2 linked regions of the Drosophila melanogaster genome follow. The protein of the gene in region 2 purifies or fractionates together with the protein of the main gene of each other region. This does not show direct contact. Each region holds a gene or a part of one and is shown on either strand. Other genes may lie near its edges.

Evidence for each region. The genes of interacting proteins can lie anywhere in the genome.
Region 1: the proteins of AP-1mu (region 2) and AP-1gamma purify together in Drosophila melanogaster (affinity purification with western blotting, with the first as the bait; one study listed by BioGRID). This does not show direct contact.

What each region holds. Positions count from the first base shown.
Region 1 is NC_004354.4:9,106,727-9,111,725, reverse strand, and holds the start of AP-1gamma (adaptor protein complex 1, gamma subunit), read right to left. Parts: upstream 3,036-4,999; 5' UTR 2,796-3,035; coding exon 2,740-2,795; intron 2,177-2,739; exon of another isoform or gene 1,739-2,176; intron 1,109-1,738; exon of another isoform or gene 738-1,108; coding exon of another isoform or gene 721-737; intron 645-720; coding exon 583-644; intron 340-582; coding exon 198-339; intron 129-197; coding exon 1-128. Other genes in the region: Arfrp1 (ADP-ribosylation factor related protein 1), read right to left, coding at 3,794-4,050, 4,169-4,421, 4,489-4,581.
Region 2 is NT_033777.3:9,557,158-9,561,062, reverse strand, and holds AP-1mu (adaptor protein complex 1, mu subunit), read left to right. Parts: upstream 1-1,537; 5' UTR 1,538-1,813; coding exon 1,814-2,635; intron 2,636-2,694; coding exon 2,695-3,153; 3' UTR 3,154-3,351; downstream 3,352-3,905. Other genes in the region: MBD-like (Methyl-CpG binding domain protein-like), read right to left, coding at 1-140, 450-791, 1,032-1,222; BckdhA (branched chain keto acid dehydrogenase E1 subunit alpha), read right to left, coding at 3,627-3,905.

The sequences.
Region 1 (4,999 bases), on a different chromosome or scaffold from region 2:
CGCCCAGGTAGCCGATCCGCTTGTCTGTGAACCGCGTGCTGGCCGTCAGCTTAAGGCACTCCAGTTGGCCAAAGTGAGCCGGATAGCCGAGCATGTGTATGTACAGCAGCTTGGCAATGTTGCGACAGCTGTGGGCGAATATATATATATATATAGTATATACATATGTATATTGCAACCGGGTGTAGATGACTCACCGCCAGACGGAGTCCTCCTCGCGGAACGTGCTCCGTATGTAGGCGCACTCTTTGTTGACCACCGCCCGCTCCTCGGCGGCGGTTCTGGCGGCGCGAATCTGTCGGATGAGGTCGCGCAGGCGTGTGGGCGTAGGCATTCTGACTGTGGGCGAGAAGTGGATGTGAATATGTTAATTAATCGGGTTTTTGTCTGTCTGGCCGCTGATCTTTCTCTCTTAACCCCTGCCTGTATCCTTCGTTTCAGGTCATTAATAGAACTATAACTATATATCTGAATGAATAAGGAGTGCAGCGTACTTGTAGCCACCTTTTGGGTGATCACAAGCACACGATCATCTTCTTATTGGAGCAATCTACCAAGTGGTGTTCACTGTCTTGGACTTACCTCTCTCCACCGCCTCTGTGAATGCTTGCCGTATGGTGGCCATATTGAAGGCTGGATTAAATCTGCCGGAGGAAGAGGTTAAATGGGTTTATATGGGCATAATTCTAGGGATGTTTGCACTGCTGTTTAGGATCCTACCCATGCTCGGAGTTCATTGTGGCGACGAGAAACGTTGAATCACTTGTGTGGCAGCCTTTTTTTTGCTCCTTCTTTTACTGGTTCGTATTTTTATTTATATTTTTGTTATTATTATTATATTCTATTACGTCTGGTTTTGTTAACTATTTGCCGGCTTATGTGCTCTTCTGTTTTCTTTTTGTTGCTGTTGCGGCGGGGCAACAACACAAATTAGCGAAACGAAATAACGGTTTTTCCTCTGCAGATCTTCCGCGCACACACACCTGCACTCCCACACAAACGCACACACACGCGCGCACACACACACACAGGGAATAACAGCCGGCCGCTATTTTGTTGCACTTGCTCTCCTACTCTCTATCCTTCTCTCGCTTGCTCTCTTTCCAAGCTAATGGAATTGGAAAAAATAAGCTGAATAGTTTAAATAAAAGCAGGTACAATTACCGCTGACATAAAGTAGATCGCTGTTGTTATGAAACTGACATCTCAGATGCGTGCATGGGTGTGGGTGTGTGTGAGTTGGCTCAAACAAATACGTTTGATCTCTCTTTCTGGCCAAGGCAACAACAAATTACTGTGCTTTATTCACTTTAGTTTGGAGCGCAATGCAAATTGATTAAATGATTAATGCACACACACGCACACACATTAATAGAGACATTCATACGCGCGCAAAGGGTTTCCAATTGGAAAAGGAGAAGCAGTAAGCCCGAAAAATCCAACTTGTTTACTGATGTCCACTTAATATTTTATTAAGTGAACTGGGCAAAAAACGAAAACAGCTGCCAGCGATAGCATAACTGACATACATACATACATATCGATTGCATTAAAAAGTCATGAAATAACGTCACTCCTATATACCCTATAGTATATATTTAACACGTAGGGTTTTTTTCTTGCGAGCTTTCCTCGTTTGTTTTCAATGTGATTTTTCGCCTGCTAATTTATGCGATTCGCTGGAAGGCCTACACACACTTGCTCACGCACACACACACATATATACACTCATGCATGCCTTTTGGGCCAACAAGAAAAGGGCAGGAAAATCTATGGCACACTTTTCAACGGGCATTTCCGTTTTAACAAATTGGATGCATTCGCGCACTTGGCGGCGTTACGTTTTTTTTGTTAATGAATAATCAGGAAACACGTTAGCTTTTTTCAACTATAAAATTTAACAACGCGACAAAAACTAAAAAAAAAATTTCAACACACACGGCCCGTCGTCGCAAGTACACGCACACACCTTCGCTTTTAACTGGAATGATTCTGCAATTGAATAAATGCCTATTCTAGCACTGCATTTACGCTTTAGCACATGTTCGCTGGGCCAACTTGGCGCTGGTTAATCGCTATTTTAAACGCCACAAAATCAACGTAACAAGTAAAAAAAAATGTTTCGTCGAGAATATGTTGATGATGAGCGCAACAGTGGTAGTGGGTGCGAGCGAGAGCGCGATATTTACAAGCAGTGTGCGCAAAAGGCATTAACGCCTCGCGCTGATAGGCGTTAGCGCATTTGATGGCACAGTGGGTAGGTATTCAATGATTTATCAACCAAACAAATAGTTATACGGAAAATATCAAGACTGAGGCATAAATCATTACAAATTAATTGTGTTTATCTGAGAGATAAGTAACAGTTTGAGTTTAATATTCGTTCAGTTAATTTGATTGCCTTATCAAAGTAAAAGATGCACTTAATTATATTTCCATGGCATTGCATTCGAACCGCAACAACTCACATGGAATGCCAGTAGAGAAGGGGCAGTTTTACCAAAATAAAAGAGATAATAGGGGGACAATAAATTGCATTTACACAGGGTGATTCAACGATTTTCTTTTGCCACACCACAGCACAAATAAAAAAAAAATACCGCTATGCAGAGCGGTCAATGGACGGTCACACTGCGATAACGTCATTTTTGAAAAACACTTTCAAAAGTCTCATTTTCTAAAGATCGACTGGCGAATCTTTAAGGGTATGAACGAGCACCGGGCGGGATTTCATCTCACCTGCGATTGTTCTCCGGCGGCAGAACGCTCCAGTCCTGCTCGTAATACGGATACATGGTGGCTTCTCACTGGAGCACGGAACTAAACCGAATGGAATGGGAGCGGGAGCGCGTTCGGGTATGGGAATGGCAGCGATAAGCGGCGAGTGCTTCACATAGGCCTTATCTAATGTACACTAATAATTAACAGGTAACGCTCTTCTTTTCTCTAGCTCTGGCTCGAGGTCTAGCTATCTAGCCCTTGCTGGCGGCCGATCATTTCCAGTCCGAGCGGTGGAAACTCCTGCGGAAGACTGACGATTCCAGTGCCACTCACCAGGTGTTGTTTTTAGTTCATTTTCATTTTCCTCCGCCTTTGCTTTTTGGTGGCACACACAGCACTTATCTATCGGACTGATAATGGTAATAATAATGCTCCCCCCGCCGTGAGAACACCACAATCCCGTCTGTTTGCTGGTTGTTTCTTTCCGCGGTTCGGTGTCGTTCGGTTCGGATAAGCGGAGCCCCATTGACAACCGCCATATCGAGGTGTACTACGAGTGCAGTGCTGTTAGATAAAGAAGCGACTCTCCCGATTTTGGTGGACCTCGAATCGCCCACACACTTTGTGGCTAACGATTAACCATAACAGCTGCGAATGGATTCAGTTTTATTACATTTTTGGCATCCAAATACCCATGTATCTGGGTTATTAACAGAACAAAGTACTTCTTCAAATACATCTTCAAGTACTTCTGAATTTATAGTTCTTGCACTTAATTGGCTAATAAGCATTGCGTTCTTTGTTATTCTAACAATAGTATTTGTAATTCGTTGTCCTATGCAGAAGTCTCACAGCTTTCTAACATTGTTTTCCTCATTTTCTCAGCAGTAGTTAACCGAAAAGAAAGGTCTTTGCAAATAATGACAACGCATCTTTACAATTGGTATCTCGCAATCTCGTCTGGCTAATTACAAATAAGCGTTATCCTAAGCCCCTAACTTACAAAAGTACATGTCTAATTAAAGCCAGTGGAGGGCCGACTACCAGGCCCAGATGTCTTCTGCTTGATCTTCTAATCGTTTTCCCGCGGCGGCCGCACCACCGCATGTCGTTTGATGGCCTCCACCAGCCACTTAATGCCCTCGTCCACGCCCTCGCCGTGCAGCGCGGATACGGGAATGGTGAGGCAATCTCGCCGCCCGATTAAAGCACCCGCCTGCTGGAAAACTGGCTTGATCTCCCGCACGCCCATCACATCCGGCAGATCCTGTTTGTTGGCCAGGATTAGCAAAGGCACTCCGGACAGCAGTTCGTTCTTGATCATCTTGTCTGTGGGGAAAGAGAATAACACATTTTAGGTGAACCTTTTTCCTTTTACCAGAGATCATCAGAATAGATCAAAACGAGTTTTGTTCAAGGGATTAGTTCGAAGACTGTTTTCGCTTACCAAATATCGCTTTGGACTCTTCCATGCGCTCCCTGTCGTTGGAATCAATCACGTAGATGACGCCATGCGACTCCTGGTAGTACTTATCCCAGAGAGATTGCAGCTCCTGCTGGCCACCAAGATCCCAGAAGTTGAGGCGTACGCCCTGCACGTCGATGGTGCCGATGTTGAGGCCCACCGTCGTCGTGATCTTGCTCGGATTGAGGCCCTTATAGTTACGCGTAAACGTGGTCTTGGCGGCCTCCAGGTAAGTCTACGTGGGCACAGGTGTTAGTTTCCGATTGGACATGAGGCTTTCATTGGATGATTCAGCTGCCTACCGTTTTGCCAGCATTGTCCAGGCCCAGGATTACCACGCAGTAGTCGTCCTTCTGAGTCATGTATTTGTAGAAGCCGTGCATCAATGTGTACATTGTATTGTGTTTTTGGCCAACAAAAACAAAAACTTAAATTGTTGACTGAACTGCTAGCGATGGCACTGCCAGCGGCTAGGGCGATGCGATAGTATCGATCGGGCAAGTGTCACTTATATCTATCTAATTATTAGGGGGATGTCTATAAATTATATTTTTAAGTATTGCACAGTTCTGTTAAGGTAATAAAAATAAATTATTCAAATTTTCTCTGATTGCCCCTGATTTTTATAAACCATATTGTAGTATTTTGATAAGAACATTCGAAATAATGGTCCAAATATGGAATGTCATACCTCGTTAAGCTCGTAATAAAATTTCAAATCAAACTGTGTTCAAAAATGCAAATTCAATTTTTTGACCATTTTTTGCAAATTTTGATGATGTTTGATGACCATTACCAATCCACTACCGATTC
Region 2 (3,905 bases):
CCCGAGTGCCATGCTTGGGTTCATTCTTCGCTTTGGCGGGATCCTGTTTATGGTTGCGAATCACCGTCACCGGTTGCTTGAAGATCGAGGCAGTCTGTCGAATGGGAGGCACCAGGGAGACATCAGTGCGCAGGGCTCGGCTGTAAGGGATTAAAGATTGGAAATGTATTAGAGAAACGCCTTCAAAAAGCTAAAACACCGAACAGCACATTAGACAAAGCGTAAAGTAAAGCTTTAGCATGCAGAGATGGTGGAACATAAATCTCAGGTGGCACAGAGCTACAGCGTTTTTGAAGACAACTACGAATTGTTTTGCCAATTGTGTGTTTCTTTGGGTATTTTTTCATTTGATGCTTTTTAATTGCCGCAGGCTGTAGACCTTGCGTCCTGGCAAACAAGACATGACACGCTGACATGCAAGAGTCAAGTGCTCATCCACTTGGCTCTACCTGAGTTCGATCTGTTGCTGCTGGCGATTGGCCGTTGATGGTGAAGCAGATGCTGCTGTCGCTGTTGCTGCTGACGAGGCGGTCGCTGCCGGAGGAGCAGCTCCTGCTGCTCCTGCAGCATTGCCTCCTTGACTCCGGGCGAACTTGCGCTTGAGGGCATTGGCCGCCGATCCGCTGGTGGCCCCATTACCGCCCCCGCTTGCTATAGGCAGCGGCATGGCGCTGCAGCGGTACAGCGAAATGGAGGGCGAGGGCAGGGCGCAGTGCGGCATTTTGCCAGGCTGGAAATCAGGGATTGCAATGTCCTGTGGCTTTCCCTCCGCCCTTTTTCCTGTGGGACTGCTGAACAGACACGGCGGTGGATGGATATTTTTGGTGGGTTAGGTGGTAGTTCGTGTGCGTGTGTATACATAGGCGTATGCGTGTGTGTGGTGTATATGGTGTGTGTGTGTGTGGTTATGCGGATGTAATAACAGAAAGGTAGTGAAAGTGATTATAAACGTTTATCCGATTAAACAGCGTGCAGTGTTCCGATTTTAGGTATATAGTAGTCTATATAGTAATTCTGCTCTTCTTCTTTACCTGTAGTAGAAAACATCCACCTTGTTATTGTTGTTGTTGCTGCTGGCTGTGGCACTGCTGTTGTTGTTGCTGCTGGCGTTGTTATTGGCGCTGCTGCCGGACTTTCGGACCTCGTCGCGCTGCCATCCCTTTGGCAGGACACTGCAGTCGACGCGTTTGCGCTCGATTGTGACGCTCGGGTTCATTTGCATGCTCGCCGAAATAAATAATTAACAATTCCACAAAAGCAGCGTCTGGGCTAGCAGTGTGGCCGTACTGCGGATGGCCACAAATGCCGGATGGCACAATAGTGATGCTAGATTACATTCTCCAATATATTTATGATTTGAATTTAAAGGTACCAATGGGAAAATGAAAATAATTTAAAAGGTATTTATTTAAAAACAGAAACCTTAAGATGTTACACCTTGCACATTTTTCATTTCCTTTAAGCTTAATTCGCTAGTTAATCAGCAGTAGACCAATCTCACCTGGCCACACTGCCCAACACCTGATGTGAACATTTCACAGCACTGGTGGGCCAACTAATAAGAAAAAGAAGCAGCAGAAAAGGCGACGTAAGAAATTCCGGAGTTTTCATTCGCATTTTCCAGTCTACGAAACGGAATATGTAAATCCAGCCCATTGATAGACCTAGCCCACTCATCGCCACCTCGCGACAGTTGCCAACTTCCACGCGCAACGCCTGCCGCGAGCAGTAGAACCATCGAAGCGACCTCCCACTCGATCCAATTGGGAATTTTACACCTGGGACAAGTGGCAGCTGCTGGGAACCAAGAGACATGTCTTCGTCGGCCATTTTCGTTCTGGACGTGAAGGGCAAGGTGCTGATATCGCGGAACTACCGCGGTGACAACATCGACATGGCCGTGATCGACAAATTCATGCCATTGCTGATGGAGCGCGAGGAGGAGGGCCTAATCACTCCGATCCTTCAGACGGCGGAGACTACATTTGCCTACATCAAAACGAACAATCTTTATATCGTATCCACGACGCCGCGCAATAAGAACGTTAATATCGCTCTGGTCTTCGTCTTTCTGCACAAGATCGCGCAGGTCTTTGTGGAATACTTCAAGGAGCTGGAGGAGGAGTCCATTCGGGACAATTTCGTGATCATCTACGAGCTGCTGGATGAATTGCTCGACTTTGGCTACCCGCAGACCACCGACTCGAAAATTCTACAGGAATACATTACGCAGGAGGGTCATAAGCTGGAGCTACAGCCCCGCATCCCGGTGGCCGTGACCAATGCAGTATCCTGGCGGTCCGAGGGCATTAAGTATCGCAAGAACGAGGTGTTCCTGGACGTTATCGAGTCGGTGAATCTTCTCGCAAACGCCAATGGCAATGTGCTGCGCAGCGAGATCGTGGGCGCCATTAAGATGCGCGTCTACTTGTCGGGAATGCCAGAGCTGCGACTGGGTCTCAACGACAAGGTTCTGTTCGAGAGCACGGGCCGCGGCAAGTCAAAGTCCGTAGAGCTGGAGGACGTCAAGTTCCACCAGTGCGTGCGGTTGTCACGCTTCGAGAATGACCGGACAATCTCGTTCATTCCTCCGGACGGCGAGTTCGAACTGATGTCCTATCGTCTGAACACGCATGTGAGTATTTTTATGTACTTAGCACCAAAATGCAAGACTAACTAAACCCCTGTTGACAGGTCAAACCCCTGATTTGGATCGAATCAGTGATCGAGCGGCATGCCCACTCCCGTGTGGAGTACATGATTAAGGCGAAGTCTCAGTTCAAGCGAAGATCGACGGCCAACAACGTGGAAATCGTCATACCAGTGCCCGCCGACGCGGACTCACCCAAGTTCAAGACCACCATTGGAAGCTGCAAGTACGCACCGGAGCAGAACGCAATCATCTGGACGATCAAATCGTTCCCGGGTGGCAAGGAGTATCTAATGCGGGCACATTTCGGTCTGCCGAGCGTGGAAAGCGAGGACAATACGGAGGGCAAGCCGCCAATTCAGGTGCGCTTCGAGATTCCCTACTTTACCACGTCGGGCATCCAGGTGCGCTATCTGAAGATCATCGAGAAGAGCGGCTATCAGGCGCTGCCATGGGTGCGGTACATCACGCAGAACGGCGACTATCAGCTACGCACCAATTGAAAGGGGCAACTCCCGTTCCTGCATCATTCCAGCCAAGCTTCAGCGAGTCATCCTGCAACAGGTAGCTTCATCTCCACCCGCGTTTTTGTCTGCGATGCGTTGCGTTAAGTCAAAAGTATATATTTGTATTCGTATTGTTTCAGTATATGTATATTGTATGTAAATCAAATTTAATAAATTTTAACACCTTTTCATAACACCTGCACCAGAGTGGGTCACTTTGTATGTGCAAATTAAGACCTAGGATGCAACCAAGTTTATCCTCTTCGTTGGTCAGAGAAAACCCAAAAACCCAAAGTGTCTAATTTCACATATCCACCGACCCACCTGTACAGATGAGTCATAACAAACGGGTTGAACCCACAAAAAACTGTTTGCCTATTGCTTAATCATAATAAATGCACTTTCGATCGAGTCTCTCGGTTCGTTTTGATTTCTGATTTGTTAGCATCTTTATGGCACCTATCTGGAATCTATTTCTCAAAGTCCTTCAAGGGATAGTGCTCCTTGTGGGCCTCGATATGTTTTTCCAGCTCGCTACGCTGCTCAATCAAATGATCCGGCATCTCCGCGTAGACGCCTTCGAACATCTCACGCCAGTTGGGCTTGAGTTTCTTCTCGGACACTGCGATCTGCTTCAAAACCTTTTTCCTTATGTCCTTGACATATTCGTTTTCGACAGTCTCGTCAAACCAGCCTTTGTGCACCATGTAGCGCTTAAGCTTGGATATTGGGTGCTCCACCGAGTTCCA